Linked DNA regions of Rattus norvegicus. The protein of the gene in region 7 purifies or fractionates together with the protein of the main gene of each other region. This does not show direct contact. Links are inferred from orthologs where the notes say so. Each region holds a gene or a part of one and is shown on either strand. Other genes may lie near its edges. The genes, in order: Cttnbp2, Cttnbp2nl, Proser2, Cab39, Ppp2r1b, Slmap and Stk25.

Evidence for each region.
Region 1: the proteins of Stk25 (region 7) and Cttnbp2 purify together in Homo sapiens (affinity purification with mass spectrometry; 3 studies listed by BioGRID and IntAct, with this or other methods). This does not show direct contact. The link is inferred for Rattus norvegicus from reciprocal best matches to the Homo sapiens genes STK25 and CTTNBP2.
Region 2: the proteins of Stk25 (region 7) and Cttnbp2nl purify together in Homo sapiens (affinity purification with mass spectrometry; 6 studies listed by BioGRID and IntAct, counting the BioPlex papers as one, with this or other methods). This does not show direct contact. The link is inferred for Rattus norvegicus from reciprocal best matches to the Homo sapiens genes STK25 and CTTNBP2NL.
Region 3: the proteins of Stk25 (region 7) and Proser2 purify together in Homo sapiens (affinity purification with mass spectrometry; 3 studies listed by BioGRID and IntAct, counting the BioPlex papers as one, with this or other methods). This does not show direct contact. The link is inferred for Rattus norvegicus from reciprocal best matches to the Homo sapiens genes STK25 and PROSER2.
Region 4: the proteins of Stk25 (region 7) and Cab39 purify together in Homo sapiens (co-immunoprecipitation; 3 studies listed by BioGRID and IntAct, counting the BioPlex papers as one, with this or other methods). This does not show direct contact. The link is inferred for Rattus norvegicus from reciprocal best matches to the Homo sapiens genes STK25 and CAB39.
Region 5: the proteins of Stk25 (region 7) and Ppp2r1b purify together in Homo sapiens (affinity purification with mass spectrometry; 3 studies listed by BioGRID and IntAct, with this or other methods). This does not show direct contact. The link is inferred for Rattus norvegicus from reciprocal best matches to the Homo sapiens genes STK25 and PPP2R1B.
Region 6: the proteins of Stk25 (region 7) and Slmap purify together in Homo sapiens (affinity purification with mass spectrometry; 5 studies listed by BioGRID and IntAct, with this or other methods). This does not show direct contact. The link is inferred for Rattus norvegicus from reciprocal best matches to the Homo sapiens genes STK25 and SLMAP.

What each region holds. Positions count from the first base shown.
Region 1 is NC_086022.1:47,927,737-47,931,740, reverse strand, and holds the start of Cttnbp2 (cortactin-binding protein 2), read left to right. Parts: upstream 1-1,200; 5' UTR 1,201-1,290; coding exon 1,291-1,371; intron 1,372-4,004. UniProt on the Homo sapiens protein: Regulates the dendritic spine distribution of CTTN/cortactin in hippocampal neurons, and thus controls dendritic spinogenesis and dendritic spine maintenance.
Region 2 is NC_086020.1:195,240,090-195,244,398, reverse strand, and holds the start of Cttnbp2nl (CTTNBP2 N-terminal-like protein), read left to right. Parts: upstream 1-1,495; 5' UTR 1,496-1,529; intron 1,530-2,194; exon of another isoform or gene 2,195-2,331; intron 2,332-4,309. UniProt on the Homo sapiens protein: Regulates lamellipodial actin dynamics in a CTTN-dependent manner. Associates with core striatin-interacting phosphatase and kinase (STRIPAK) complex to form CTTNBP2NL-STRIPAK complexes.
Region 3 is NC_086035.1:77,060,071-77,064,218, forward strand, and holds the start of Proser2 (proline and serine-rich protein 2), read left to right. Parts: upstream 1-1,320; 5' UTR 1,321-1,438; intron 1,439-1,729; exon of another isoform or gene 1,730-1,869; intron 1,870-4,148.
Region 4 is NC_086027.1:93,966,590-93,970,132, forward strand, and holds part of Cab39 (calcium-binding protein 39), read left to right. Parts: intron 1-1,667; coding exon 1,668-1,733; intron 1,734-2,655; coding exon 2,656-2,799; intron 2,800-3,401; coding exon 3,402-3,543. UniProt on the Homo sapiens protein: Component of a complex that binds and activates STK11/LKB1. In the complex, required to stabilize the interaction between CAB39/MO25 (CAB39/MO25alpha or CAB39L/MO25beta) and STK11/LKB1.
Region 5 is NC_086026.1:60,102,541-60,106,083, forward strand, and holds part of Ppp2r1b (serine/threonine-protein phosphatase 2A 65 kDa regulatory subunit A beta isoform), read left to right. Parts: intron 1-1,402; coding exon 1,403-1,576; intron 1,577-3,398; exon of another isoform or gene 3,399-3,511; intron 3,512-3,543. UniProt on the Homo sapiens protein: The PR65 subunit of protein phosphatase 2A serves as a scaffolding molecule to coordinate the assembly of the catalytic subunit and a variable regulatory B subunit.
Region 6 is NC_086034.1:1,687,373-1,690,915, forward strand, and holds part of Slmap (sarcolemmal membrane-associated protein), read right to left. Parts: intron 2,722-3,543; coding exon 2,599-2,721; intron 947-2,598; coding exon 872-946; intron 173-871; coding exon 1-172. UniProt on the Homo sapiens protein: Associates with the striatin-interacting phosphatase and kinase (STRIPAK) core complex, forming the extended (SIKE1:SLMAP)STRIPAK complex.
Region 7 is NC_086027.1:101,618,528-101,622,649, reverse strand, and holds the start of Stk25 (serine/threonine-protein kinase 25), read left to right. Parts: upstream 1-1,290; 5' UTR 1,291-1,395; intron 1,396-1,557; 5' UTR 1,558-1,613; coding exon 1,614-1,643; intron 1,644-3,744; exon of another isoform or gene 3,745-3,762; intron 3,763-4,122. UniProt on the Homo sapiens protein: Oxidant stress-activated serine/threonine kinase that may play a role in the response to environmental stress.

The DNA.
Region 1 (4,004 bases), on a different chromosome or scaffold from region 7:
TCCCAGTTTCTGTCCATGAGCTCCCTATCCCCTCCCCCTCCCCATACAGGTATCCCCCCCCATCCACCCCCCTTACCGTCCCACTCCCTCCCGACATTCCCCTGACTTTGTTTTTTGTTTGTTTGTTTGCTTGCTTGCTTGCTTGTTTTAAACGCTTTGATCTATAACCCATACAACTGAACATTCCAGTCATCCATCTTCCAGAATTTCAAGCGTGGGATTGGGTGGTGCGTTGATTCGGCTTCACAGAGACACAATTTGAATGTCTCCATTTGATTTTGTGCTTTCAAAGCATTTTGGGGGGATATGGAGATTTGGGAAGGTCTTTGCCCTAAGGTCTCAATCACGTGATAGACTTTTCAGATTCAGCCAGAAAGTCTAAGAGCAGAATTAGAGGTAGGAGATGGGGAGGCTTGGGCCTAACTCATCCATACAAACTCCAGCCATGCATTCCCATATGATCATTTTGACAAAGGTCTGTGTGTGTATCCTTGTGTCCTAACTTGTACGAAGGAAGTTGTTGTTCTCTCAAAAGTAGTAAGACATCACTGGATACTTGGTGCTTTTTCAGAACAGATCTCAGGCTGGGGTGGGGGTGGGAGTGAGGGATTCCTCCTTCTTTGAAACGAAGCAGTTACCAACCGAGCAGATAGGTACCGGCGGATGAGGGGTGCTAAAAACAGCTGGACACAGACTTTGAGCTGTGGGTTCAGACTTAGAGTTGATGGTTTTAGAGAGGACTAGCATTGAAGATGTGATAAAAACAAAGCCGGGTATACAAACCAAGAGGGTAGACGTTTGCAGGCCACAGGGACTGGAAGATATTAAGAAAGGCACCTCACTGGAGCTAATGGTAGTGAGGAACGGTTGCTCGATTTTAGATTTTTTTTTTTTTTTTTCACATCCAGGAGTCTGGCCCAGGATCGACTTGAGCCCGGCTGCCTAAGCAAAGATTTGGCCAGCCTTTGCCTCGTGGGAGGAAGCGTGCCTTCTTTTGCAGCCCCGGGTGTCTGTCTTTCGGACATCAGCGCGAGGCCGCGCCGCTCCGGTGCCAGTTCTTGGTCCTGTGGGAGCGACTGGTGCGGGCGGGCGGGTGGGCGGGGCTCCGCGTTTCCAGCGCGCAGAGGGTTAAGCGGCAGGGGCGGTGCGGAAAGGCGGGAGGGGACCGCCGAGCTCCGGGGCTGAGAGCGCCGCGGCCACAGCCAGCAGCGGGTTAAGCGCCGCCCGCGCCGAGAGAGCTGAGCCCTGCCGCCGCTCCGAGCTCGCATTCGGATCCGCTAGAGCAGGAAGATGGCGACGGACAGCGCGAGCTGCGAGCCCGACTTGTCCCGCGCCCCGGGCGACGCGGAGGGGGCCACGGCGGAGGCGGCGGTAACCGAGTTCCCTGGGCACCGGGATCCGTGTAGACGGGGGCTTGGGTTGGTGCCAGGATCCCCACTGGACACTCCCCTATGGGTGCCCGGTCCTTTCCTGGGATGCCTTGTCTTTCTCTAGGGTGCCCCCTTACTTCCACGGGGTTCCTTTTCTTTACCCATGGTCTCTCTTCCCAAGGGTTTCCCTTCCTCCTCCTGGATACCCCCTTTCTCCTGTGCCTCTTCCCTTGGATACCCATTCCTTCCCCGGGGTGTGCCCTTCGTGTGTCCCTTCCCCAGGGTGTCCCCCGGGACAGAAGCGGGTTCATGTCGGGGAACGCCACCTCCTACACACACCCAGATGCTAGGGACCCGGTCGGTCCTTCTGGACACTCCACACATATCCCTGATGACCCCCATGCCCATTCGCGGGGTGCTATGGAGGATCTCAGTCCCCATTGTTCACCGCTTCGGGGCGCAGAGCGGACGCGAGTCTCGGGGTGCCTGACACCTCTCGGGGGACCTGGGTTAGTAGAGAGGGGGAGGTGAACCATCGCCAGGCAGGTGTGGGATGCTCTGTGTGTGTGTGTGTGTGGGGGGGTCATGTGTCTTGGGGAGGCTGGTGGGAGAGGCCCAGCGAGCACCAGCACTTTGGGTCCTAGCTGACTGCTGGCTCAGTCAGTCATCTGTAGGGATGATCTTCCAGACCTAAAGCGGGATTGAGCTGGTTTTTCTGAACCTGGTGTCAAAACATTGTTCCCTTTCTCTGGCGTCTTAAGTTCCTTAGGCGCATACCCGCTCCCTTCTTTGATACTCTGTCTTCTGCATGCACAGATATTACCTTCCTACCTTGCTTTGGGGGTCTTGACCCACAAAGCCAGGTTGGAAAACATTCTCAGGTCGAGGAAGCAGCTTTTGCTGGAGCTGCAAAGATCTGCAAAGAAAGACAGGTCTGGGAGCGCCTCCCACCCTTAGCCAAATCCAGCACCTCAGAGGATTCCTTAGTGGGACAGAGTGAGCTGAGCCCCGCGTGGACGACCCCTCGTGTCTCCCACCTCTAGATCCAAATCCGGGTCTGGGCAGTGGAGGTCAGGACCAGACGTAAACAACCTGTGTTGTTGAATTTCCTCCCACCTCTGGCTTCGAATGGGAAAGGAGAGACGTGGAGGAAGGTGCTTGGTGGTGAAGGCTGCAAAAGCAGAATGCTAGAGGAGGGTAGGGGAAGGGAAACTACTAACCCCCATCGTGAAAGTGGAAGATATGGGCTTGGGGAGCTTTGAGGGAAATTCGCATTTTTCATTCTTTGCCGATAAGAACGTTAAAGATATTTCAAATGAAACCTTTCCACATGTGAATTTCTTTCTATGACAACGGAGAAAACAAGTCCCTCTGGGAGTTGAAATTATCAACTGTCCTGTTCTCCATGGGAGTGGGGGGAGTGGAGGTGTGGCAGAACTCGCCTCTTCTCTCTCTCAGGAAGGTGGATAGTTTGTTTAATCTACTTAGAATACACCCCTTTGTGCCTACACGATATTTCAAGCCCAAGATAAACCAACACCAGCACGTGGTTTATGATGTGTGATGTAAAACTGTAAACAAAATTGCATTGTCAGGAATACTTTTGTTCCAACGAGGTCAGTGTTCCTTGTCAAATGTTCAAAAGTGTCAGGAGCCTGATTCAAATGCGGATAAATTAGCAGCTTGATGACGTGACTCTTGTTAAGGGGAAGAGTCAAGAAAAAAACTCTCCCGAAGGAAAGGAAAGAACCTCTTTCAAGGGATCCTATTCTGTAGGCTTCCAACCTGCACTAACAGCACACTTATGGTTTTTAAAGTAAAAATGTTACGCTTCAGTCTGTAAAATTGGGCTATATTGATTTTTTACCAGTAGTTTGCGCTTGAAAAGGGGACTCTTAACATGACCTACTTGAGTAAGCTGGTCTTTATTTCCAGGTAGGGTCACAGGGAGCTAAACCTTACCATGGAGTCTCAGTCACGTACCTCTCTGTCTCCTGAGGTGCTGAAATAGAGGACCTTACCACCACCAGCCTGGTTTTAGGCTGTTTTTGTCGTTGTTTTTGGCTCAAGAAAGAAAAAAAAATAGAGAAATCCTGTTTGTCGTGCTTGTTTTTCATCTAATGGTTAAAAATTAAATCTTTTAGTTTGCTTTTTTTCTTGGCCGACAAAAAACTTAATATATACATATTTTTAATTTTAAGGAGAAATTCTCTTTCTGCCCTGAAGAGATTTATTTCATTTCAAACTGGTTTACATCTTGTGGAATTTTATATATACATTTGGCAGAATCGAGCTAGTGAAGCCTCAAAGCCATTGGCTATTTTTGAAAGAGCATGTTTTCAGAGGGTTTTTTTTTTCTTTTCTATTTAGATTGTTGCTTAGGAACTGGCTTAATTTATAGTTTGCAGTTTAATATAATTTCCAGTGGAATGTTTTAAATTTAGTTTGTTATCCTTGTTCTTCGTTGTTTAAATCCTGAAAGCACCTCGAGCTAACAGCTACATCATTCAATAGGATCTTATTAATAGTCTACGCTGTGATCCATGCTGGGAGCCTGGGTTATTTTCAGTACCTTAGCCAAATGCAATGACTTTTATAGGCCATATTGCTATTTCTGCTCAGAATATAATTCTT
Region 2 (4,309 bases), on a different chromosome or scaffold from region 7:
ATGGCACAGATTGGAGTTAGTCTTGTAATCTTTCTTTTCCAGTTATTAATTCTATAACCTTCAGTTGGATCTCTTGGTTTCTTTGACTCGTCATAATCACTCACGGTGATGTCCACTATACAGGGTATGACAGCACTGACACGGATATTATATGGATGAACATAACACTGTGTTGACAGGAAATACTGTTTTACTTCCTCTAAACCATGATTACTCAGGCTGGGCATCTCTCTACCCAGACTGTAAACTGCACCTGTCTCGAGGACTGTGTTTGCCTAGGGCAGTGGTTCTCAACCTTCCTAGTGCTGCTGTCCTTTAATATAGTTTCTCACGTTGTGGTGCTCAACCATAATTTCGCTGCTACTCACAGCTGTAATTTTGCTGTTATAAATTGTAATGTAGGTATTTTTTTTTTTTTACAGATAAAGGTTATCCGAGGGGTTGTAACCCACAGGTTGAGAACCACAGGCAGAGAGAGTATTAAATTCCTAATATTCTCCTGCTGATAATTGTGAGGATTAGGAATAATGTATTCAGAGTAGCATGTTACTTGTGCACTTAAATACTTGTTTTCTTACATGTACTTGTTACAAATTCTTTAAAACAATGTGGTCAATCACTTGTGAGCTGAAGTGCAGGCTACGGTAGAGTGCGTTCTCTTCCCTCCAGGTTATCCGGTCTTGTTTTTATCACTAAGATCTGCATTCCTGTGTTCACAAGGACAGTCATTCCCCCTCATCCAACTGTTTTGTTTTGGCTTCGTTAAAAACGCATTCCCCACAGTATGACGGGGCCCAAACATATAAAAGAGGGCCCCACATTCATGAAAGGCAAGCACAGTGTGGGAAAACTGCGCGTAAGTTTGCAATTATTTGGCTTCGCCCTGAAAGGAAGGTCGGCAGGGGTTATGCCCTCCTCTACCGGGTGCTGTCCTGTCTGTTCAACCCCAGAGTCTCCCTTTGTGTACCCAGTGTGATGTGTTAAAGGAGATGGTCTTGTGCCCTTGCTTTCCAGCACCACACCCAAAAGTCAGTGCAGAGAGAGAGAGAGAGAGAGAGAAAGTGAGAGAAGCAAAGAAGACACGTTACTAGGTTTTCAATAACTAATTCTAAAACAAACGCTAAAACTCACTTCTTTTATTCACATTTTGGATAAACCCCAAATTAAGCCACCAAAAGGTGTTCTCAGGATCCTGAAAAGTTGCAGAGCCCAGGCGGAGAGCAGAGCGAACCCAGACTCCAGCCGACCAGAGGTGGTACTTCCTCCCGGAAGTGACGCCAGCTCAATCCCAGCCTGGCTCTCCCAAACAAAAGGGATCTTGCAGCCCCAGGAGGAGCCGGGATGACTTTGGAGAAGCCCAGCCTTCAGGCGGCGAGGATTGGTTGCAGAGCCGCAAGGGCAAGACTATAATTGGCTATGGTATCTGCCGGTCACTGCCGGCGGATGAGGGGGCGGGTCCTGGGAGGCTGGGGATGGGGAGCGGGCGGCGGAGGCGGCGGCGGGGAAGGATCCCGGAGCGCCGAGGCCAGGTACGGAGCGCGGGGTCCGGGCTCTGCGGTGCTGGGTGGCCGGGTCTCCGAGAGAGCCTCCCGGCCCGGAGCGTGTATGGCTTTCAGCAGCAGTCCCTGTCGGGGTAGGGATGGTCCCTTAGGGGGCGGGGCCGCCGCCTCCAGATCCCGGGATTCCCCGAGGAGGCGTCGCGGCATCCTCCAGGGTCCTCGCGACTGTTCATTGTCTCTCGCCAGCCTCCGCCCTTTAGCAGGGGTCTCCCCCTGACCTGTCTCACTCCATGTCGCCTTTTGCCCAGCCCTAGCCTCGGAGAGGGACTGGTGGGTGCAGTTTCTAAGCTGCAGCCCCCACCCCTATATTGGACCCCCGCAAGTCCAGGCATCCCTTCCCACACCTGCCCCTGCTGGCAAGTCTGGGTCCAGAACTAGGGTGCTGTATAAGATCTAAAAAAAAAAAAAACAGCGTTGTTCTTATGAGGGATGGGCGAGGAGGAGGGAAAAAAAAGACGAGACCCAGACAGACACCTCCAACAGTCAGAGCGGCCTTCTCCCCTCTTTAGCTCTTCCCATCCCCCAGCCTCTGATTGCTCCTACGGTCCCCCCAGATCCTGTGTTGTCTTGTTGAGTGTTGAGAGCTCCCCGGCTTAAATCATGTATTACCTTCTTCCCTTCGCCCTTTGTACCTTCCTCGCCCTTTATTTTTCTTGTGGGAGAAGCCAGCTTTTGGGGGATTTTTAGGTTTGAGTTGCCTTTCAGTTTTGCTTTCTACCCGGTTTCTTCCCTGAGAACTTAATAGGAAAGCATCCGCATATTTCATAGCAAGGTGGGTGTGTTAGCTTTCAGCAGAGTTAGCCTTGTGTGGGTAGGAATGCAGTGTGTATTGTTTGACAGTCAGTTATTAATACCATATTTTCAAATGAAACGGTGTGGAGAAGTCAGTAAATGCCTTTGCAGTAGGAATCCCCATCTCTCAGTTTGTAGTGGGCTGGTCCGTTGCTCCGGGAGACTGCAGTTAACCTTGAAGGTGTACGGCAGGTTGAAACAAAAGACAGGAAGTATTTGAACAAAATTCAGGTTCAGTTGGCTAGGTTTATAATTAATCTGGTCCTGTGGCCTCTGAGTACTATCTCACCCCTGTTTTATAATGAGATTTTATCTCAAAGAAAACGTATCTACATGTGATATGATTCTGTCTGGCGTGCCCGCATCATCAACCAAAATTTAAAGCATTAAAATAAAAGGTAGTTTTCAATTTCAGAACAAGAGCCTTGTTGACTGTCCCGATGTTAATGTCATCGAATCTCTAACCATCAGCTGTGGCTAGCAGTACCACCTATTAATTTTTCTATATTTTTGGCATTTTAAATTTTGATCCCGAGTTCATTTTACTGTTGGTTATTTATAGCCGACAGATGTGAGGTGCAGAGTTGCAGTCACAGAGGGCGATTGTAGTGGCTGTTGTCTGTAGCCTTCCTGAGTAGACTTCCTGAAGGTAATTAGTTTTGAATAGTCAGGTTCCAGAGCCACTCTAGGGCTCTGTGATTGTTTCCAGACACCTAGAGAAAGGAAGCACAAAGAAGAAACTGTATACAGGGTCTCTCCTGCAAACACAAAGTTTATTGCCATAGGAAGGAGAGATCCATTATCCCAGAAATAGCATCAGGGGTTTAAAAAAAAAAACTAGAAGTAGAATAGGAAACCCCCAAAAGATGTATCTTATTACATGAGTGGAGAACAGGAAATAAATCCAGGTAGGAGACGTCGGGAAACCTAAGGAGTAGTGATTTCCAGGGCCCTGACAAACAGAGGAAAAGCAGAATAAAGCCACTGATGTTTTGGCACAATAAACAAGAGCTGCTTAATATACCTTTGATCTGGAGGGCTGGTTTTGTTTTGTTTCATCAAGAGTGCTACTGTGTCTCCTTATGCTTCTGAAAACTGTGTAGCCCAGGATGGCTTCCCCTCCTGTTGGGATTACAGCGTGTACTATGATGTTCAACTCTGATAGAATTCTTTCCGATAACCTTTTCACTGTCATTTTTGGTCATGTTAAATGAAAAAAGCATTGTGTGCAGACAGTTTGTGTGTGTGGGTTTAGTGCATTTCATTAAATTATTCTTTGACTGCAAAAAGTTCTTGTAGCTTCCACGGTGCCTAATAGGAACACTGAATTTAGTTTAAAGCTCTCACATAAGAGTCAAACAAGACAGATAACAAACTGATAAAGTATGGCACATCTTGTTAAACCATCCGCCTTCTTGTCTTTGTGTAATTTGATTTTTCCTTATCTGACATGATAGGAAATTGCAATATCTGAAGTGGCTAAAATATTGACTTTCCTATGAGAAAATATCTCTGGATAGGTTTTATATATATATATATGTTTACTGTCATGAATTCTGAGCCAGATATATATGTATAAGAATCTGACCTAGTGGAGGTGGGGTGAGTTCTGGAGAACACTCTAGGAACTGTTGGTTAATTTTTATTGTAATTTCTGAGTATTTGATTTGACCCTAGTGTGCCGGCTAGTTTTATGTCAACTTCATACACGCTAGAGGCATCTGGGAAGAGGGAAACTTCAGTTGAGAAAATGTCCCTATCTGATTGGCCCATGGGCAAGCCAGTAGGGCGTGTTCTTGATTAGTGGTGGTTGTTGAGAGTGCCCAGCCCACTCTGGGCGGTGCTCCCCTTAGGCTTGGGCCTGAGTGCTATAAGAAAGCTGGCTGAGCAAGCCAGTAAGTGGTGTTCCTGATCCTCCATGGCTTCCGCCTCATTTTCTCAGTCCAGGTTCCTACCTT
Region 3 (4,148 bases), on a different chromosome or scaffold from region 7:
AGATTGAGGGGCTTGTCCTGAGCCCTGAAATCTATCCTACGTGTTGGAAAGACAGCACCAGTTCCTGAAGGCTGTTTGCTGACCTTCCCTTTTGTGACGAAACTCACGAACACACACACACACACACACACACACACTTCACACACTTATACACACACTCATACACACACTCACACATACTCACACACACTTCACACACATACACACACATTCACACACACACTCACATATACTCACACACACTTCACACTCATACACTCACACACACTTCACACACACTCACACACTACACACACACTCACACACTACACACACACTCACACAGACACACACACATTCACACACATAAACACACACATACTCACACACACTCATACACACACACACACACACACACGAATGAAGGGATGAATGAGTGGATAGATGGATCAAAAGAAACCAAAGTCCTCAAAAAGCAAGAAGGATTTTGACATTTTTTTCATGACAAAAAAAAAAAAAGATAAATGTTTAAGGAGCTCCATGTCTACTCTGCTGAAAACTTTGTTCAATGTGCACAGGCATGAGGACAAGTAACTCACAAATGGGCAATGCTTATAAGTTCATTACAAGTGAAAAAGCTGGACGTGGTCGCACACGTCTTTAATCCTAGCCTGCAGATGGGTCTCTCTGAATCAGAGTCTGTGTAGTGAGCTCCGGGCCAGCCAAGTCTACAAAATGAGACCCCTTTTCAAAACAAACAAACAAAGACCTAACCCCACCCCCTAAACAAAAATAAATAGGAAAAAAGAAAACATTGTCTGAATGAATTAATGAAATATGTATGCTATGTGCCTTGTTTGAAAGTGTAAGTATTTCATCAGTCACAGCCATTATTATTATTAAATGGATAGTGACTCTTTAGAATAGTGTTGTTGAATGCCTGTAATCCCAGAAGTCAGAAGGCTGAGGCAGGAGGATCATGAACTTGAAGCCATCCTACATAGTGAAATTCTACTTCAAAAAGCAAGCACCAACGGAACTCTCAAAGTTGCTGATGAAGTTGCTGGTGAAGTCCCTTCTTACTCAGGGCTTCAAAAGCATGTCCGCATTGCGACTTCACATTGCTCACCCTCAGTTCAGTCTCACAAGGAGAAGTCTTGAAAGGCCCAGTCCAGGGCTTTGGGCGCTGGCCCTTTAAGTTTCGCGGGGGCGCGCAGACTACCTCTGGCCCACGGGACTCCTGTAGCCGGGAACGCGCTGCCGAGGTGCTGTGTGGCTGGGCGCGCGCGGCCGGCCGGGAGAGCGCGGCAGGGAGGTGCTGGGTGCCAGAGAGCGCGCGCCAGGCAGCACGGGACGATCGGCGTGTGTGCGTGCACGACTTGCTGGCTGGCGGACGGCGTGAGCCCTGCGGGTCTCAGTCGGCGTGGACACCTGCGACCCGCGAAGGGGACTTGGCTCGGTGAGTTCCGCCCCACTGAGCGGGGACAGGCCGGGCGCCGGGAGCGGGGTGCGGGGCGCGGCAGCAGCTGTCCGGATCATCCGGGGCGCCGGGTCCGGGTCTCGGAAATTGGGGAAGTCGTTTGCGCGCAGCTGGGGCGCTGTCGTTGCCCCACCGTGCTGCCACCGGATGGCCTTCATCCCGGGACTTCGGGGGTCGCGACGCGTGGCTTTTCACCTTGGGGTTTTCCCGTGGGCGAACGCTCAGTGGTTCCTGGCGTGTTGTCTGAGTTGGGTCCCAGACTCTCAGGCTTTGGTCCCTTACCCTTCCTGGAGCCGACTGCGCGTGAGGACCGTGTCCCTTGCGAGGCTCAAACCTGGAGCCACCTGTTAAACCAGGATCCTGCGCGAATCTTTCCGCAGGTTTTCCGTGCCCCGGCCGGTTCCCCGCAGGTAACTGAATCGCGCGGGGATGTTTGTGTGGGGCTGCGGGGTGACCTGGGACCGTAGGATTAGAAAGAACGAATATGTTGCAAATGGGACAGGGCTTAACAAAAGGCAGTCAAATAAACTGCAGCGTTTCCCCAAGACAGAAAGTTTCCCAGCATTGTTTGACGGATTCTAAATTTAAGCAATTAGCCCCCCTCCCCTAGGCACTTAACCGCAGGACAACTTTTAACTCTTTGCCTGAACCTATTTGGTGCAAAGGAGAAAATGAAGGGGGGAGCCCAAATGTGTGTGTGTGTGTGTGTGTGTGTGTGTGTGTGTGTGTGTGTGTGTGTGTGTGTGTTTCTCCCCTAAACAGAGTAAAACTTTCAAGCCCTGCTGTGGGAAGATTCCTTCTGGCTCCAGTTTTAATAGAGACAACAACAAAACGCTTTGTCCTGGAACGATCTAGAAATACCAAACCAGGTATTAAGTGTAAACTTGGGGAAAGTGCTTGCAGGATGGACTTTTGTGAAAAAAATAATTTTTCTATGAGGTGCTCCAGTGTGTGCTAAAACTTTGCCCTCGTACTCCGTGCCTGAATGTTCCAGATTGTTTTTCTAGGTGGAGGAGGTACTTTCGTTGGTGCGGCCAATGTGGAAATACAAACAAATGCCCTATTTACTTGGGGTTGGGTGGGAAGGGTGGAAGTCAGGCTGAGACCTTTCTTGCCAGGTTGACAGTGTATGTATGGAATCTTCTGTATTTTCTTGCCCAGAAGAGTAATAGGCTTTTTTTTTCCAGGGTCTGGATTGGTTCCTTCTAACAGTGCCTCTAGTAAACGTCTCCTGGAAAATTTTGGATGCTGATAATTTGAAAGCATTTTTTTTTCTCCATTCATAGAAAACAGACATTTGAAACTAGGATAAGTAACAGCTACAAAGATGGGCTGTGCTTTTGAAAACAGAGTCTCGGAGTCTCGTGCTTCCTCTGTTGCAGAGGGGTTGGCCTGTTTTAAGGGAGGCTTGGTGAGGCCCTCAGTTCCTCCATGGTACATTTGTGGTCTGTCTGACCAGCTGAGCCCTGACTTGCCAATGCACATGGAGAATCTCTAGATAAAGAGCTGTGGGGTCCAAACTGATTAAACCCAGATCTGGTAATCCTGCCTTCGTCGGTGGCTGATGAGACTCCTGGCCTCGGCTCTGAGGTTCTCAGACACCTCAGGAGCCTACAGTTGGCACCTTGTGTTGATCTGAAGATCGGCTCAGGTAACTGCTGGAGGCAGAGCAGAGCCTTGAAACCAGAAGGGAGGCAAGTGGATGACCTGTGGGGAGCAGAGGCCAGCACAGGGAATCCTCTGGAACAAAAAGTTCGAGTGTATCTTATCTGAGCTGTTATGGGATGCATGCCAATGGCATCGGGCCATTTGGTAGGTGCCAGGGGAATCCTAGGAGCATCACAGATCCTGGGTGCTTGGATGGTCAAGGGTAGCATTTGTCTCCATTGCACTTCTTGGTTGCTCAATCATGGCTTCCTCAGGGGTGTCTTACAGAGAGGGCCCTCTGTCCAGTCTCTGAGTGCCTCTGCTCATGCTGGGTTGGCCGTCTCTTATAGCTATATCTGTGGTCTGTCTGACCAGCTCCAGTGTGCTGAGCTGATAGCCTGTCTGTGTGAACCACAGAGAAGTTCCTCCTCCTCCGTAAGGCCATTGCTCCCTCCCGGGGTGACAGCACCCATCTTGAAATTTGAGAGAATTTAACAAAAGCCGGTGTTGTACTAATGGTCTGTACGGCCTCATATCCAACCTTTCTGGAGCAGAGTCTGCTAGGTCTTTGTGAATGGAGCATACCTTAGCACTGGGAAAACTTGATTCTCACCCATCAACCACTCCTGCCCCATCCGGGTCTCATTTAGTTGAGGCTGGTCTTGAACTTGAGCTTGATGCCTGGTAGAGCTTCCAGTCCATCTATCTCTACCTCCCAAGTGCTGAAATGATTCTCATTAAGAAAAAAAAGTTTATTACATGTATTTGTGTGCATACATGTGTGTACATGTGTGTACACATGTGTGTATACGTGCACACGTGTGTATTATGCACGTGTGTGCATTGTGCACATTCGTGTGCATTGTGCACATTCGTGTACATGTATGCACATATATGTGCATGTGCCACAGTGCCCATGTAGAGGTCAAAGGACAGTTTACACAGATGGGTACTCTTTTTCACGATGTGAACCTCTGGTATAGAACTCAAGTTGTCACATTTGGTGGCGAGTACCTCCACTCACTGAACCATTTCACCTGTC
Region 4 (3,543 bases), about 7.7 Mb from region 7:
TGAAAAGGCAATGGAGTGATTTCATGGCTTGGGGAGTCAGGACAACCTGAGGAACTGTATCAAAGGGTCAAAGCACTGGGCAGTGGTAGCACATGCCTTTAATCCATGCACTCAAGAGGCAGAGGCAGGCAGAGCTCTGAGTTGGAGGCCAGCTGGTCTACAGAGCAAGTTCAGCACAGGCTACACAGAGAAACCCTATCTCAAAAACTAGAGAGAGGGAGAGAGAGACAGGCATAGAGGCAGAGGCAGGGATGGGCAGACAAACATAGAGGGAGAGAGAGAGAAAGAGGGAGAGGGAGAGAGAGAGAGAGAGAGAGAGAAGAAGAAGAAGAAGAAGGAGGAGGAGGAGGAGGAAGGAAGGAAGGAAGAAAGGAAGGAAAGGAAGGAAGGAAGGAAGGGTTGCAACATTAGAAAGGGTGAGAACCACTGCTCTAACATCAGAACCCAGAATCTGGCTTCAAGTCCTAAGACTAAAGGCTTTCTTTACTCTTTGTGCCTCCTTTTAGCCTCAGAGCAGCAGGTGCCACTAATGAGTGTGTAGAGTATGTGACCTTCTACCGCTCAAGCTCCTGGAGAGAATGCTAAAACACAGTGAGATGTTATTTGCGAATGTGACATCAGCTAACAAGATTTTAGAAAGCCATTTTTACAGAAATGTGTGAAGTGCAGTCAGATCTGAGGGAGAAGAAATATCAAGTCCTACCAAAAAATATACTTAAAACCTTGACCACTTTTTTGGTTTTGTTTGTTGGTTTTTGCTTTACCAACTAAAGAATGGGGGGAAACAATCAGTTAAAAGATGAAAAGATATGTGCTGGTTGCTCAGAATGTCCTGTTGACATAGTTGAAGGGAAGCTGGGTTGCCTGACATGCATTGGCATTAATTGCTCCTACCCTGATGACATGTTCTTACTATCCCCACTTGGAAGACCTGGTGGACCCCTATCACTCTGATTTACAGCTTTGCATTCCCCGGGTCTCTCATTCCAGGAATATCTTTCCTTCATCCCATTTCTAAGTAATATCGATCCCTTCACCTTTGAGCCAAGTTCTCACCTTTCAAAAGTCCTGTCTCCTTAATACTGGAGGTTTCTCCCCTCTCTTATCTTTATTTTCTCTCCTTCCTTGATACCGTGAAAGAACGGGTTCGGTTTTCTCTTTGTGGTTTAGACAAATAGAGTTCCTGTATATGAAATGATAGGAATTTTTTAACACCAAGAAATGAATATGGAAAGTGTGAGAAGGTGTTAATGCAGTGGTCCTCACTAAGCAGATATTTACATTATGATTCATAACAGTAGCAAAAAGTTAAAAATAGCAATTACATAATGTATGGTAGAAGGTCAGCCAATGTCTTAAAGGGTTGCAGCATTAGGAAGGTTGAGAACCACTATGTTAATGTTTTATGCACATGGAGTTAGGGTATAGAGGGGGACTTGTCAGTGTAGTCTGTGGATCTGACTGGAGCCTGGAAGGGACCAGTCCCAGGAGCTCCCTGAATAGAAGTGGCTGGTGGCATTGCCATAGGGGCACATGAGGAAGGGAGGTTTGACATCATTGTCAGCAGGAGAGCTCAGGCCTTTGTTATTTCAGAGTCTGTCCTGAACTTTACAGTGTTATCTAGCTGCCTTTTCCTTAACCCTGATGTGTGTTTTCTGGTCTCCTAGTTTTTCAGTGAATATGAAAAGCTACTTCATTCAGAAAATTATGTGACAAAGAGACAGTCACTGAAGGTATGGCACATTCTCTTTTTCATGTCATTCATTTCTCTTCACTATGTATTTGCAACTTGAATTTGGAGCATCAGGGACATGCTGGTGCTGGTTGTAGACCTTTAGGAAAAAAAGCACATTTGTGCTTTGAGCATGGTTGGGGTCTTTCCAGGGTGTGGGGTGTGGTAGTGGTCTGTATGCCCACATTATAAGGTAGAGACCCCAAAGGGGAATATGCCACTCAAAGCTGGAGATCTGAACCCAGGCAGCTAGCACCAGGACAGGTGCCCTTCTATCCGCCCACAAGGATATTGTCTGCTCCCAGCCCGGTATGTGGCTGATAGACAGCCTCAGCTGGAGCTCAGTGCAAGCACAACCTGGAGGACAGTCCCAGCTGAGCAGTAGCCAGCCGCTTGCACACTGGGTTCATATGGAATAGTGAGGAGGTACTGAGACAGCGGAGACGGTCTCAGCTCCCTGCTGTGCTTTCTGAGCAGGGCTGTCTTGAGGAACCACTGCTGAGATGCAGCTTTTTGAGGCAGATGTGAGAAAATGAAAAACAGCATGCATTTAGGCAAACACCACCCTTCATCCTGGAAAGCCCTGCTAAAAAGAATTTAAAACAGGAAAAAAATTAGTTAATAAACGGAACTTCCTCTACCCTTTCCTTCTTTGGGAGGTGGTGGTTTGTTATGCTGTCATTTTTTTTTTCTTTTTTTTGGGGGGGGGGGGTTGGGGACCGAACCCAGAGCCTTGCGCTCGCTAGGCAAGTGCTCTACCGCTGAGCTAAATCCCCAACCCCTATGCTGTCATTTTTATTTTTGTTACTGTCTTTTGAAACCAGTCTCTTCTAGCATCAAGTGACGACTGGAAGATGGATTGTTTAATTTTTTGATTTGCTCTAAGTCTTAATTTAAGAGTAATGGTCTAAATGTCTTCTCAGCTTCTGGGTGAACTGCTGTTAGACAGACACAACTTCACTATTATGACGAAATACATCAGTAAACCTGAGAACCTCAAGTTAATGATGAACCTCCTCCGAGACAAGAGCCGTAACATCCAGTTTGAGGCCTTTCACGTGTTCAAGGTGAGCTGCACAGCAAACAGTACCTTCTTCTGAAACTTCATTACAAGTCCTAAAGTACTGCCCGTGTTGTAACCAGTCAGAGCGTGCAAATAGAGGCGGGGCCTGGGTGGAAATGGGCTGGGCCCTTGCTAGTGAGAAGAGAAGTGTAGTCAAAGAAGGTGGGTATTACTCTTCAACTTGCACAGAGGTGTGCAAAAACAAATGCTGCCCCTCCTGTCCTCGTCTTCCCCCACCCCCCATCCCATCTGAGGCTCCCCTCAGACTCTTTCTCTAGCTGCTTAAGTAAGGTCCAGTACAAGGCCAGAGGTATTTTTAATGCTTTCTTTGTGGGGTAGGGTGTTAATCTTAAATTTCAGTCTGACCTCCTGTGCCCAGAAATAATTATTTGATTCTAAACTCAAAGGTGGTGTTTAGACCTCAGTACTGTGTGTCAGGGCAGGCAGAATGGCTTGGCAGTCTTTGTGCTAAGCCTGTAGTCATCATTATCCCCGTTGTCATGTAAAAGTAAGTTCTTCTGAAGAAAGACTAATGCCCTACCCGCCCAGGAGCTGCTGGATGGGCACTGATGTCTCCTCTGACGGACGTAGTTTTCTCTTCTGCAGGTGTTTGTGGCCAACCCCAACAAGACACAGCCCATCCTAGACATCCTCCTCAAGAACCAGACCAAACTCATCGAGTTCCTCAGCAAATTTCAGAACGACAGGACGGAAGACGAGCAGTTCAATGATGAGAAGACCTACTTAG
Region 5 (3,543 bases), on a different chromosome or scaffold from region 7:
TTCATGTAAGTCATGAAATACGTCAGTCTTAAACTAGCCTGAACTACCTGCTAAATGTTTTATGTTATATCACTGGTTCCTTATAGTTAAAGTTCATATATCTTTGCTTAAACAGTATCTTTTTACTTATGTTTAAAATGTAGCTTCAGATATTAACATTTAGTGGCCTGAGGTGTGGCTCAGCAGTTAAGAGGCCTGCTACTTGTAGAGGACCAGAGCTCCAATTCTGGTGTCCATATTGAATGGCCCATAAGTGCAACTCCAGTTCCAGAGGATCCAACTCCCTCGCTGGCCTTCATGGGCACCCACACATTTGGGCACACATGTACACTTTACACAGACAGTACATACATACAGATGAACAAATGATGTGAAAGTTAGTGTCAGGCATGATCGGAGTGCTTTGGATATGCCATTCACACCCAGCGGGCTTGAGGCTGACTCCTCATGCAGAGGAAGTGAAGCACAGGGATAGACATCTGAGGTCTCCCCGCGCAGGGGCAGACCTAAGACTTGAGTACATAGAACTGAACTCCAGGGCCTGGGCTTTTTACCATCGCATAGACTTTATGCTTAATTATTAATTAAAAGTTTTTTTTTTCTATTCTTTTTTTGGAGCTGGGGACCGAACTTAGGGCCTTGTGCTTGCTAGCAAGCGCTCTACCACTGAGCCAAATCCCCAACCCCTAATTAAAAGTTTAAACTTTATTATTGTGTGAGTGAGTGTGCACTCGTGTATACATACAGAGCTCAGAGGCTATCTCTGTGGAGTCTGTTCTCTCAATCCTCCTTTATACGAGTTCTGGGGATTGAATCCAGATTGCCAGTTTGTGAGGCAAGCCCCTGTTCCTGCTGAGCCTTCTCACCTGCCAATTTGTTAATTGATTTTTAAATTACAAAATCATGACTTTTTACTGATACTGTGGTTACGATTAGTGACACTGTGTTTTGGATTACCTGTGTACTTAGCACTAAGGATTTCTCTCTGCCGGTATTCCTCTGGTCAGTTCTGGCCCTCAAGTCCATGGCTCTGTGCAGGCTGGACAAATGCCTTTCTCACAGCCTCACTGCAGCTTACCCCACCTTTTAAAACCTGAGCCGAGACTTAATTTCTGTTTTCTGTTTTGGTTTGTTTGTTTTTGTTTTTTTTTCAAGACAGGGTCTGTCTGTGCAGCCCTGGCTGTTCTGGAGCTCATTCTGTAGACCAGGGTGACCCCCACCTTAAGAGATCTGCCCTCCTGTGCCTCCCAAGTGCTGGGGTACAAGATGTGGGCCACCCCCCAGCTTAGTACTTTTCATTTGAAGTTCTGTTTAGCACTTTTTATTTTCTCATGCTAGGAGAGTACTGGGCAAAGCAGCTAATTTTCACATGGAGTCTCTGGGGCTTGTGTGTTTATTGTAGTGTCCAGAAGTTCGTTTAAATATCATCTCCAATTTGGATTGTGTGAATGAAGTGATTGGAATCCGTCAGCTCTCTCAGTCTCTCCTCCCTGCCATTGTGGAACTGGCTGAGGACGCCAAGTGGAGGGTCCGCTTGGCGATCATTGAGTACATGCCGCTGCTGGCTGGCCAGCTGGTGAGTACCGTGCCGGGGAGTCCAATTGTGGACTTACGGCGAGTGGGGGCTCAGGTAGTCAGGCTGCTGTGTCTCCATCAGATGCACTGGAGTAAATTCTTGTGGCCTGCAGGATGCTTTTGTGTTTGCTTGCTTTTTCAAGACAAGGTTTCTCTGTGTGGCTTGGTCATCCTGGCTCTCCCTGTAGACCAGGTCTGCCTACTCTGCCTGCTGGGATTAGAGGTGTGTGCCACCATCTCAGAGGATGGTTTTTATTTTCAGTGGTGCATTATGGCCTAACAGGAGGGTGGTCCAGAAACACATTCACCTTACTGCCTCCTCATGATAAAGGTGTAGAATATGTAATTTCTTTATTAGTTTTATTCTAATAGATGTGAGTAGTTAACATTTCAAAGCTGACTCTACTGCACACCTTTCCCTTTTTTCTCAGTAGGGGAAGACGAGGGCAAGCTTGTTAGCCTCACCCCTACCCATGGTAGCTCTTAGACAGTTAACTGTGGGGTGGTTTCTGTGGCTTCATGGTGCTAGTTATTAATTAGACACTTGGCATTTCCTACGAGTTGGATGAAGGGAGACCTGAGTAGTTTCAGAATGCTCATGGATCAGTTTACTGCTGACATTTCTGTACTTTGCCCCCCAACCCCAGTGCCCTGCCCTGCCCAAAGGTTCATTTCCACTCCTTTCGGATCACAGCACATGGGCGGGCTCGTATTTTCTTGACCACTGCACCATTACTGATTTGGGTGGTTTATGAGCATGCGTCTTGTAGATAGCCATGTTTTATCAAATCTGAAATTCTCTGTTCCTCAAAATGAAGGGCAAAGATCCTAACTTATCCATGTGTCAAGTGATGTCATCTTATCATGTTTCTTCACCATCCATTCCAAATGGGGGTCATTTTCTGTTCCTCTGTCATCTTCTGTGTCACTGTCTAGAGTGGAAAGCAGCAGTGGCTAATGATGGGCTTGCTAGGTGGAACGAAGCCCCTGTGTGGAAGGAGGTGGAGGAGGTGGATTGTGTTTACCATTTCTTTGAACCTTACCCCACCAGACCTGGAAAGTCTCCAGGGCTGCCAGCAGTATGCAGAAGAGTGTGGAAAGAAGACAGATGTCGTCTTGGCTGGTTAACACCTTCTGGCCGGGGCAACATCCCTCAGTCATGGACACTGGCTGGGGTGGCATCTGTCAGTCATGGTCACTGTGTCTTTCTCTCTAGAACTGGAGTTACAGTTGTGAACTGCCATGTAGGTGCTTGGAACCAAAACCAGGCTTTTTGTAAGAGCTCAAATGTTCTTAATGGCTGGGCCATCTCTTGCCTCCATATTAGTATTCTTAATTTTTCTTTTTGTGTAAACTTTTAGTCAATAACATTTTCTCATGACTCTCCAGCCCAGCTCATAGGCCTGATGAGTAAATACAGAGTTAAACCACAGACTGTCTAAAGGAGATCACAGGGAAATCCTCAATCTGGAATAAAAGTAGGAGTCTGAGAGCTGATGCTGTGGGCGAAGTGCCTGCCAGATTTGGTCATGGCCTGGTGAAGCCGTCCTGTGTAAACACAGAACCCTTGTTGTTGGTCTTTCTTTACATACATCGTCACTGGTCAGGAATGTCTCAGACGTGAACCAGAAAGGAAGGCACCAGTTAAGTGTGCATCCTGGGCTTACCTGTGTGGTGTGTATGTCCTATGGCAAGAGGTCTTCGTTTGTTCCCAGCCTGTGTGGGGACCACAGGCTGAGAGTCAGGCGCCAGCTATCACTTCTACCTTTGTCCTGCACACTGGTGCCTGTTTTTTCTCTCTACTGCCTTCTCTCATGCTCTAGAAACACTGTCTTCTGTTGGTGATCTCTTGGTGTCACTTGCTGCGTGCTCAAGGACTTGCTAACTAAAAAGGAGAGATGAGAATTACCAAGCCCCTCAGCAGCTATTTTTCTGGGTAATTCACTTTCCCATGGTGTCTAGATTTGC
Region 6 (3,543 bases), on a different chromosome or scaffold from region 7:
TCTTGCAAAGACATAAAGTCAGTGTCCCGCTCAGACACAGCCTTTGCTGCTGCTTGATGAAGGAGCAAAATCTCATCTTGAGCACTCAGCAATTTATCTCTCGTGCTAGAAATCTCAGTGTCCTTTTCCTCCTGGAGATTCTCCATATCCATGTGTAGCCTCTGCAGCTGGACTGTAAAAGTGTATTTATCATTTCCCAAGTCACAGGGATTAGGAATGCAATTACAGCACATTACAGGTTTCAGCCACTGTGCAGCCTCACTCTCACAGCTCTTTTTCCTCACTTTCTTTTGATTAAACTGCACATGTTTGTACAGAAAATACCAGAACACAGATGTAAAAGAAAAAAGCCAAAAACCTAAAGTAAATTTATTTTAGTATGTTGACATTTATTCTTTTTTCTAATGCCTTCATTCATATATAAAATAACGAACATTGAGTACAAAGGGATTTATATATGCATGTATATAATATATATTTTTCTATCTTCTTGCCGATGAAAATATTTTGTAGGGAGGGAGGCAGTGAGACAGTTTTAGCTGAGGCAGGAAGGACTCAGAGTCATTACCCAGCTGAGGTGGGCCTTAAACTCATGACCATCCTGCCTCTTACGTGCTGGATTACAGGCATGCAGCACTCCAGTTAGCATGACCCTGCCTTCTCAACTCCAGTGTCTATGATGGGTTACTGGGACAGTCCCTCCCTTTGTCTGCTTTGAAGGCCAACTGTCCAAGGGCCTAGTACGACGGTTTCTAGGGAAGAACAGAGCCATGGCAACTGAGGACCCTCTGCAACCTTACTTTCCATTCCTTTGCAATCACTGAACACAACCATAACCACAGCTGTCTTAACAGTCGTGGGAGCCCCATACCTTGAAGAACCTGGATTTGTTTAGCTGATTCCTCAACTTGATTTCGATAGGCTTTTCGTTCTTCTTCCAAAAGAGCTAAAAGGCAAAAACACAGTGTATCTAATTTTGTGAGTTAATGAAAAACATTCATAATTGTGCAACTAGAAATTTCTAAAATTTGTCTTTTAAAGTTTATGGAGAGACACAAGGTTAGATGTTAAGTATTATCAGTATTAGCCATTAAGATTTTAGAACACAAAACAATAGTAAGTAAGAAATCTATAAAATCTAGTTCCATAATTTCATACACTGAATACCAGTAGGCTTTTCTTACACAAGAAATATTCACATAATTGTTAGTTATCATTTTGAGCAATGCAAGATAGCACAGGTTTATAATCCCAAATACGGGGACGGTTAAGACAAGGAGTCTCACAAGTTCAAGGCCAGCCTAGGCTATGTTAGAGGGTTGTGATAGCTCTGTGGCAGAGTGCTTACACAAAGGCCTAGGTACAATACCTGGTACCATTAAAAAATTATCATATTAAGGACTGGGTATCATACTGCATACTTAATCTAACCCAAACACTGAGGTAACAGAGGCAGGCAGATCTCTGTGAATTCAAGCAAGTTGTCATCTATGTAGTGAGTCCCTTTGCTAGCAAAGGCTATGTATTGAGACCCTATCTCAAAACAAAACAAAAAAACTCTACCCAACCACGAACAAAAAAACAAAACAAAAACCCCAAAATGGAATATTCTTGTGTTTATTGTCAAACACATAGTAAATAAAAACAATGGCTGATTGATAAATATTTTTCATTGTAATTAAACATTAGTTTGTATCCTATAATAAAGTCAAGAGAGACAACTGCCTACTTTTTAATTTCTGCAGTTCTGTGGCTGAAAGCCAGGGCCACATGCACTGGGCTGGCCTTCCTTAAGATAAGCCACAGTCCTAACAGCTCATCAGCAATCATGTCTTTAAGAATCAGGAAAGGAAGTAGTTAGGAATTCACAGCTTCATCTTGGCATTTGAATTGTTCTGCCCAGGAAGGGAATCTCATAAAACTTAGGGGTGCCATAAGGATCCATGGGCTGGATCTTGGGACTCTCCAAGACTTTAACTGCCAAAGGGCAATGGTTCCAGAGGCGGATGATTATAGGCCACGAGGAAGAGAAGTGGCTGAGATGAAAAAGACTTTTTTTTTTTTTTTTGAGGGCATCTAACTACCCAGACTGGCCTCAAACTTACACCCTTTCCCCTCTACATAGACCACTGGCCTCAGCTGAGAAGATTCCATATTTTGAACCCTGTCTGCAACCTTCCTGTTAAATAACCACCCTGAAAAGTGAGCACTAACTTAATTTACACGGTTCCCTCCTGAGCCAGGCTTGTGTGGATCCACACTGGTGGATGGAGCATCTCACATCCAAACACATGTGCAATATGAAATGCTATGAAATCTGAATCCTTTGACCTGAGCATTTGAGATAAGGGACATTCAGCCTGCAAAGAGCACAGACTAACAATGAAGCACAGAGCTCTTCTGTCGGTAGAGCTCTTGTGCTCCTCACAATTACAAAGGCAGAGAGCAGCTGTGATAGCCCTCTCACCAGCTGAAGTGATGTCTGAGAACAGCCCAGCCCTGGCTCTCCCTGCCATGCCTCTGGGCTCTGAGCTCTTGTGCCATCACACCTACTCTGCCTCACAGGACCCCAGGGGGCTGCAGGGATCTTCGTCTCACCTTGAAGGTCAAAGCATTTTTGTTTACTTGCTCTAGCTAGCTCCTGGGCTTCCACCAATTCTTTCCGAAGATGTTGAGTGTCTTGTTTGGCCTCAGTTTCTGCCTGGGTACCCTGTAAGTCATCTGACAAAAACACGTTTTTTTAAAAAGCAAGTGTTAGTACTGCACTATATTCTCTGTAACTAGTGTCTGGCACTCTTTCATGTTTAGACATACATAGTTTGCAACATGGCACAACTGAGTTAAATAAAACTTAGAAGCAAATTAGAGTAAGCACATTAGTTAACACAGATACTAGTACTATAAAAGATAGAAATTAACATACACATAATTGATGTTCATCTCCTGTAAACTTGAAATCCAGTGAGGAGATAGGCACACCACTGTTTCCATCAGTTTTCAATCATGTTCTTACTACTACGGTTATTGGTGTGTGTGTGTGTGTGTGTGTGTGTGTGTGTGTGTGTGTGTGTGTGTGTGAAAGAGAGAGAGAGAGAGAGACAGAGAGAGACAGAGAGAGATGCATGCCTGCATGCCACAGTGCAGATATAGAGGTCAGAAGACAACGTAAGGAAGCTGTCTCTTTCTCTCCCCCATGGGGCTCCCAAGGATTGAACTCAGGTTATCAGGCTTGGCAGCAAATGCCTAATTTACCAGAGCAACCAACCCTCTGCCAGCTCCTTCTCCATCGACTTTGAAATTCAAGAATAAGACAAGAAAAACTACCTGGAGCTAAAACAAAAATGGAAAAACAAAAGAAATTCATCTTTAAGAAAGAACGTGAGGGGGTTGGGGATTTAGCTCAGTGGTAGAGCGCTTGCCTAGGCCTAGGAAGCGCAAGGCCCTGGGTTCGGTCCCCAGCTCCGGAAAAAAAAAAAAAAAAAAAGAAAGAACGTGAGGACGAGCAGGCTCAGCAGGGAGAGGAGGCACTTCCAAGCCCACCAA
Region 7 (4,122 bases):
CTGTAACTCCAGCTCCAGGAGATCCAAGTCTTTTCAGGTCTCAGTAGGTTCCTGTTCACATGTGACATACACACATGTGTACATATAAAAAGTCTTAACAGAGTAGACCTTGCCAAATGTCAGACTTAGTTATAGGAGGGATCGGGAATGGACCCATACTGTCAGGCTACCCTGAAGACCATCTTAGAGATGGTCTTTTTCAAAGGCAATAAAAATAGTTGTCCGCCCCCCTCCACCTCCACTATTGTTTATGCCTTGGGGGGACCACAGTGCTTCAGGACCCAGTGCAAGGCCTGTTTGTTGGAAGTCTATTTTCTTCTGGGGAGAAACACAGCAAACAAAACCTAATCGACATGTAGTAAAGCTTGGAGAGTCAGATGCAAGTCTTGGATGCAAGGTTTAAGAAGGCCCCGGATGGTGCCCAAGACGAAAATCCACCAGAGAACAGAAACAAAAAGCCTTCGTGAGCTGGGGAGTGGGGACATTATGGTGATTTGCACTGAGCCATCATAGGTGTTGATTCAGCAGAAAGGACACAGTACTGAGTCAAATCTCCCTCCAGTGGAGCACTAAGAGACTGCATAGAAATGGTCACTGCTGACAGGGTCACTCGGTTTGAATTCACAGGACGAAGGGCATCTTCCAGCGTTGGGAAACCATGCTGGATCACACAAGTCTTCCCAGAACCAGGTCATGTCCTGGGGGCATACGATTACACCTTTTCAGATAGGGAAACTGAGGCAGGAGAGAAGCACTTGCCCAAGACTTCTCTAAGGGTGTGTGTGTGTGTTGCTAAGTGCAGACAAAAGGGTGGCACTGCGGTTAAAGCTGAAGCACCAAGACCTGAGGGTAATATGGGTTTGCACTCAAGGTACATAGTATGGGTGGGTCCCAGAGACTGAGCAAACAGAGCTGGGAAAATAAGAAGAGGGCTGAGGATGGGTGGGTGGGGTTTGAAGACGTAAGGCAACTGCGCACGCGCTGCACCCGTCACACCGCGCGGCCTGACGGCAGGGGCGGCCCAGCCCGGGTTGTCTCTCAAGGTTCGGATCTAGTCTGTGGCGTATTATTGCCTCTCCACACGACCTCCCACCGCATGTTCTCCTGGGACATGTAGTCTGACGCCATCAGGGCCTCAGAGCACTTGCGTAACTCCGAAGCCTACCGCGCAGCCTGCTGGGACTTGTAGTCTCAATTTTGCGTGCCTGGGGTACCCGGCGTGCTGCGGGACTCCTAGTCCCACAGAGCTTCGCGCTCGCCACGACGTCCTGCTCAGAGCCGCTGCCTCCACCTCACGGGCTGGGAGGCCTGGGCGTTCCGGGAGACCGAATTGCGGTGTGAGCCGCCGTGGGGACTGCGAAGCGGGCCGGGAGTCCGGGATGGAGCCGCCCGGAGGTGGGCGCTGCCAGCGGGCCTCGCCTGAATGTTGGGGAGGCTGGGCACGCCCTGGGGGCGGGTCAGGGGCCCTGGGCGCGGGACCGGAGGTCGCGGGTGAAGGGACGCCACGGAACGGCTCCCCCGGCCGCTGTTGACCCAGCGGCCTGCGGTTTCTTGCAGGTGCTTGAGGCGAGCGGGTGGAGCGGCTGCGACGGACTGGTCACGTCAGCGGGGACATGGCTCACCTCAGGGGCTTCGCGCACCAGGTGAGTGTGGGCGTCGGAGCGGATTTGTCCACTTGGGGCGGGAGAGGGGCGGAGGCCGAATGCCTCGGGGCGCGTCTTCGGGCCGTTGTAGCTCTGGCCTGCGCGGCGGAGCCAGCGCCTGCGGAAGACATGAACCACAGGGAGGGAAGCTCTGCTATGTGAGGGGTTCTGCTCTGGAGCTGGTGTGGACAGGTGCAGGAGCCTGCCCTGGGCAGAACCTGCTTGACCCAAGCTCGGAGCCCCTTCCCAGAAGATAGACTTTTCCTTTCTTGGCTAACGGATGGAACCCCAACATGGAACTGCATCAGCAGGGAGATGGGGGCTGCATAGGGGTAGAGGGCTCGGTGGTTTGCTCTCTGGACCCCTTTTCTCGCCTTTATTTATTTATTGTTGTTGTTATTTCAAAGCAAATAGGACAGCCGTTAGTGAAGTAGAATATCTTGCCGGCTGGTTTTCTCTGGCTTTAGCTGTGGGATTTGCTTTTTAAGGGCTCGGTTTGGTTAGGCTTCGGCTTGACAGTTGCACAGTGAGGGAATCAGTTCTTGAGGACAGTGCAACCGACGTCCCCCCCCCCCCCCACCGCCCCCTTCTCCCTGCATCCTTGAGAACTGGGTGTGCAGACAGGAAGCGTGTCCATCCGCTGCTTGTGGGCAGGAACTGGAAGCAGGGCTCCTTGGAGGAAACCAAACCAGCCTGGAAGACTCCTCACAGCTGTTGGGTAGGGCTTTTGTCCCAGCTGTCACAGATGGGATCCTGCGCTTGCTAACTGATGCTGAGTTAAGCTAACACATTTTTAATACATTTTTGACATTTCGCCTCTAATTATATAACACACTGAGAGAAAAAAAAAATCTGCCTCTGGTTTATTTTTAAGACGCTTAGGCTTCGCTCCTGTAGGCCCCCAGGATGACAAATTGGAACTATGAACTGTGAAGGAGTAGAGAGATGATGGCTAGTGGACCTTTCTCAAAGAGAAAAAAAAAACACCCTTTTGTCTCTTTAGAGGCCTATGTCCAGTGTAGACTTACTTGGCTTCTGAGATTGACACAAAACCTTTGTAGGGCTGTTTTCTCCCAAGATGGCTGCCATGGAGTCCTATGAAACTGTTCCTTTTGTGTGGTAAGGCTTGTACTTTCTCCGCTTCTGCCTTAGATTACCTTTTACCTAGCCAGTTCCTGCCCATCTCTGGGAGGAGCATGGTTATGGGAAAGTTCTGTGTGACTGTGGTGGTAGTTGTGGATGTGTGTTGAGTTGTTCCTCTTGTTTTGGGTAGGTGATCCACAGCAGGCATGTTGGCAGATAGGCCAGAGGCTGTAGGTATAATATCTCCAGGACAGAATGGAGAGAGTATGGGTGAGGTTGTAGGTATAATATCCCCAGGACAGAATGGAGAGTGTATGGGTCTCAGTTGTTCAGAGTAAGTTAAATGGCTTGAGTGATGGTTCATAGCACATCCTGTCCAGAAGAGAAATCTGAGCCACCCAGATCAGGATGCTAGCTGTCTTTGATTGGCTGGGCTTGGGACTAGGGCTGCTTCGAAGGTATAAATACAGAGTCAGGACCATGCCAGAAAGGTTCCTGTCATACTGTTTCTAAGGATGGCTGGTACACAGCTGTAGGTACCCCAAAAAATCCATAGACTTTGAAGACTAGGGTTACCCCCTTCCTTGCACAAAGCTTAGAACTCTGGCTTTGGGGTCTGTTATTTTCTCCTCCTCTGAGGCAGTGGTGAGTAAATACTTGGCCTGAAGTATCCTTCTTGGGCTGCTATAGTGGACCAGTTCTGACTTTAGGTTCCCCAATTAAGGATTCTCATGGCTTATGGCTGAGCAGTGTGGGAGGACACGGTGTCTGAGCCTGAGGAGTAGGAAAGGGGCCCTGAGAATTGGAAGGATAGTGGTCCTGGGCTATGTAGTTAGCCCATGGCTTGAAGTGTTTTGGGGCCTGCTGGAGCAGAAACAGGCAGAAAAACAAAAATAAAAGAACAAAACAAAACATCAACAAAACAGGCAGGTAAAGGTCTGCTATGTGGACCTTATTCTGCACCTGACTTTCAGGGCTGGCATTGAGCAGAGGATCAAGTGGTCACTGCCCAGACGTGAAGTGACAGGAGGCTAAGGTATTGTCACACTGATCACATCCACCTTTATCAGTTGTCTCTACACTGATGAGTGTGGGGAGAGCCCATGGCCTGGAGTGGTTCTTTCTGATCTGGCTTGGATCCAGTGCTGATCTTGAAATAGCTGAAGTGTCTGACCTATCAGCCACACTAGAGATTTTTTTCTTGGCTTTTCATTTAAGTAGGAGTGGCTGGGATCAAACACTACTTCCTGGCCAGTACAGCCTAAGGAACACAGGCAATCCTCAGCTTTCTCTGTCAGGCCAATCTCAGTGCGGCCTTTCAGGAGCTCAGGTGGCAGATCTACTCCAAGCATCTATTGCTGTTCCCCGAGAGCTGGTCTTAGGATGTGGCTTCCAG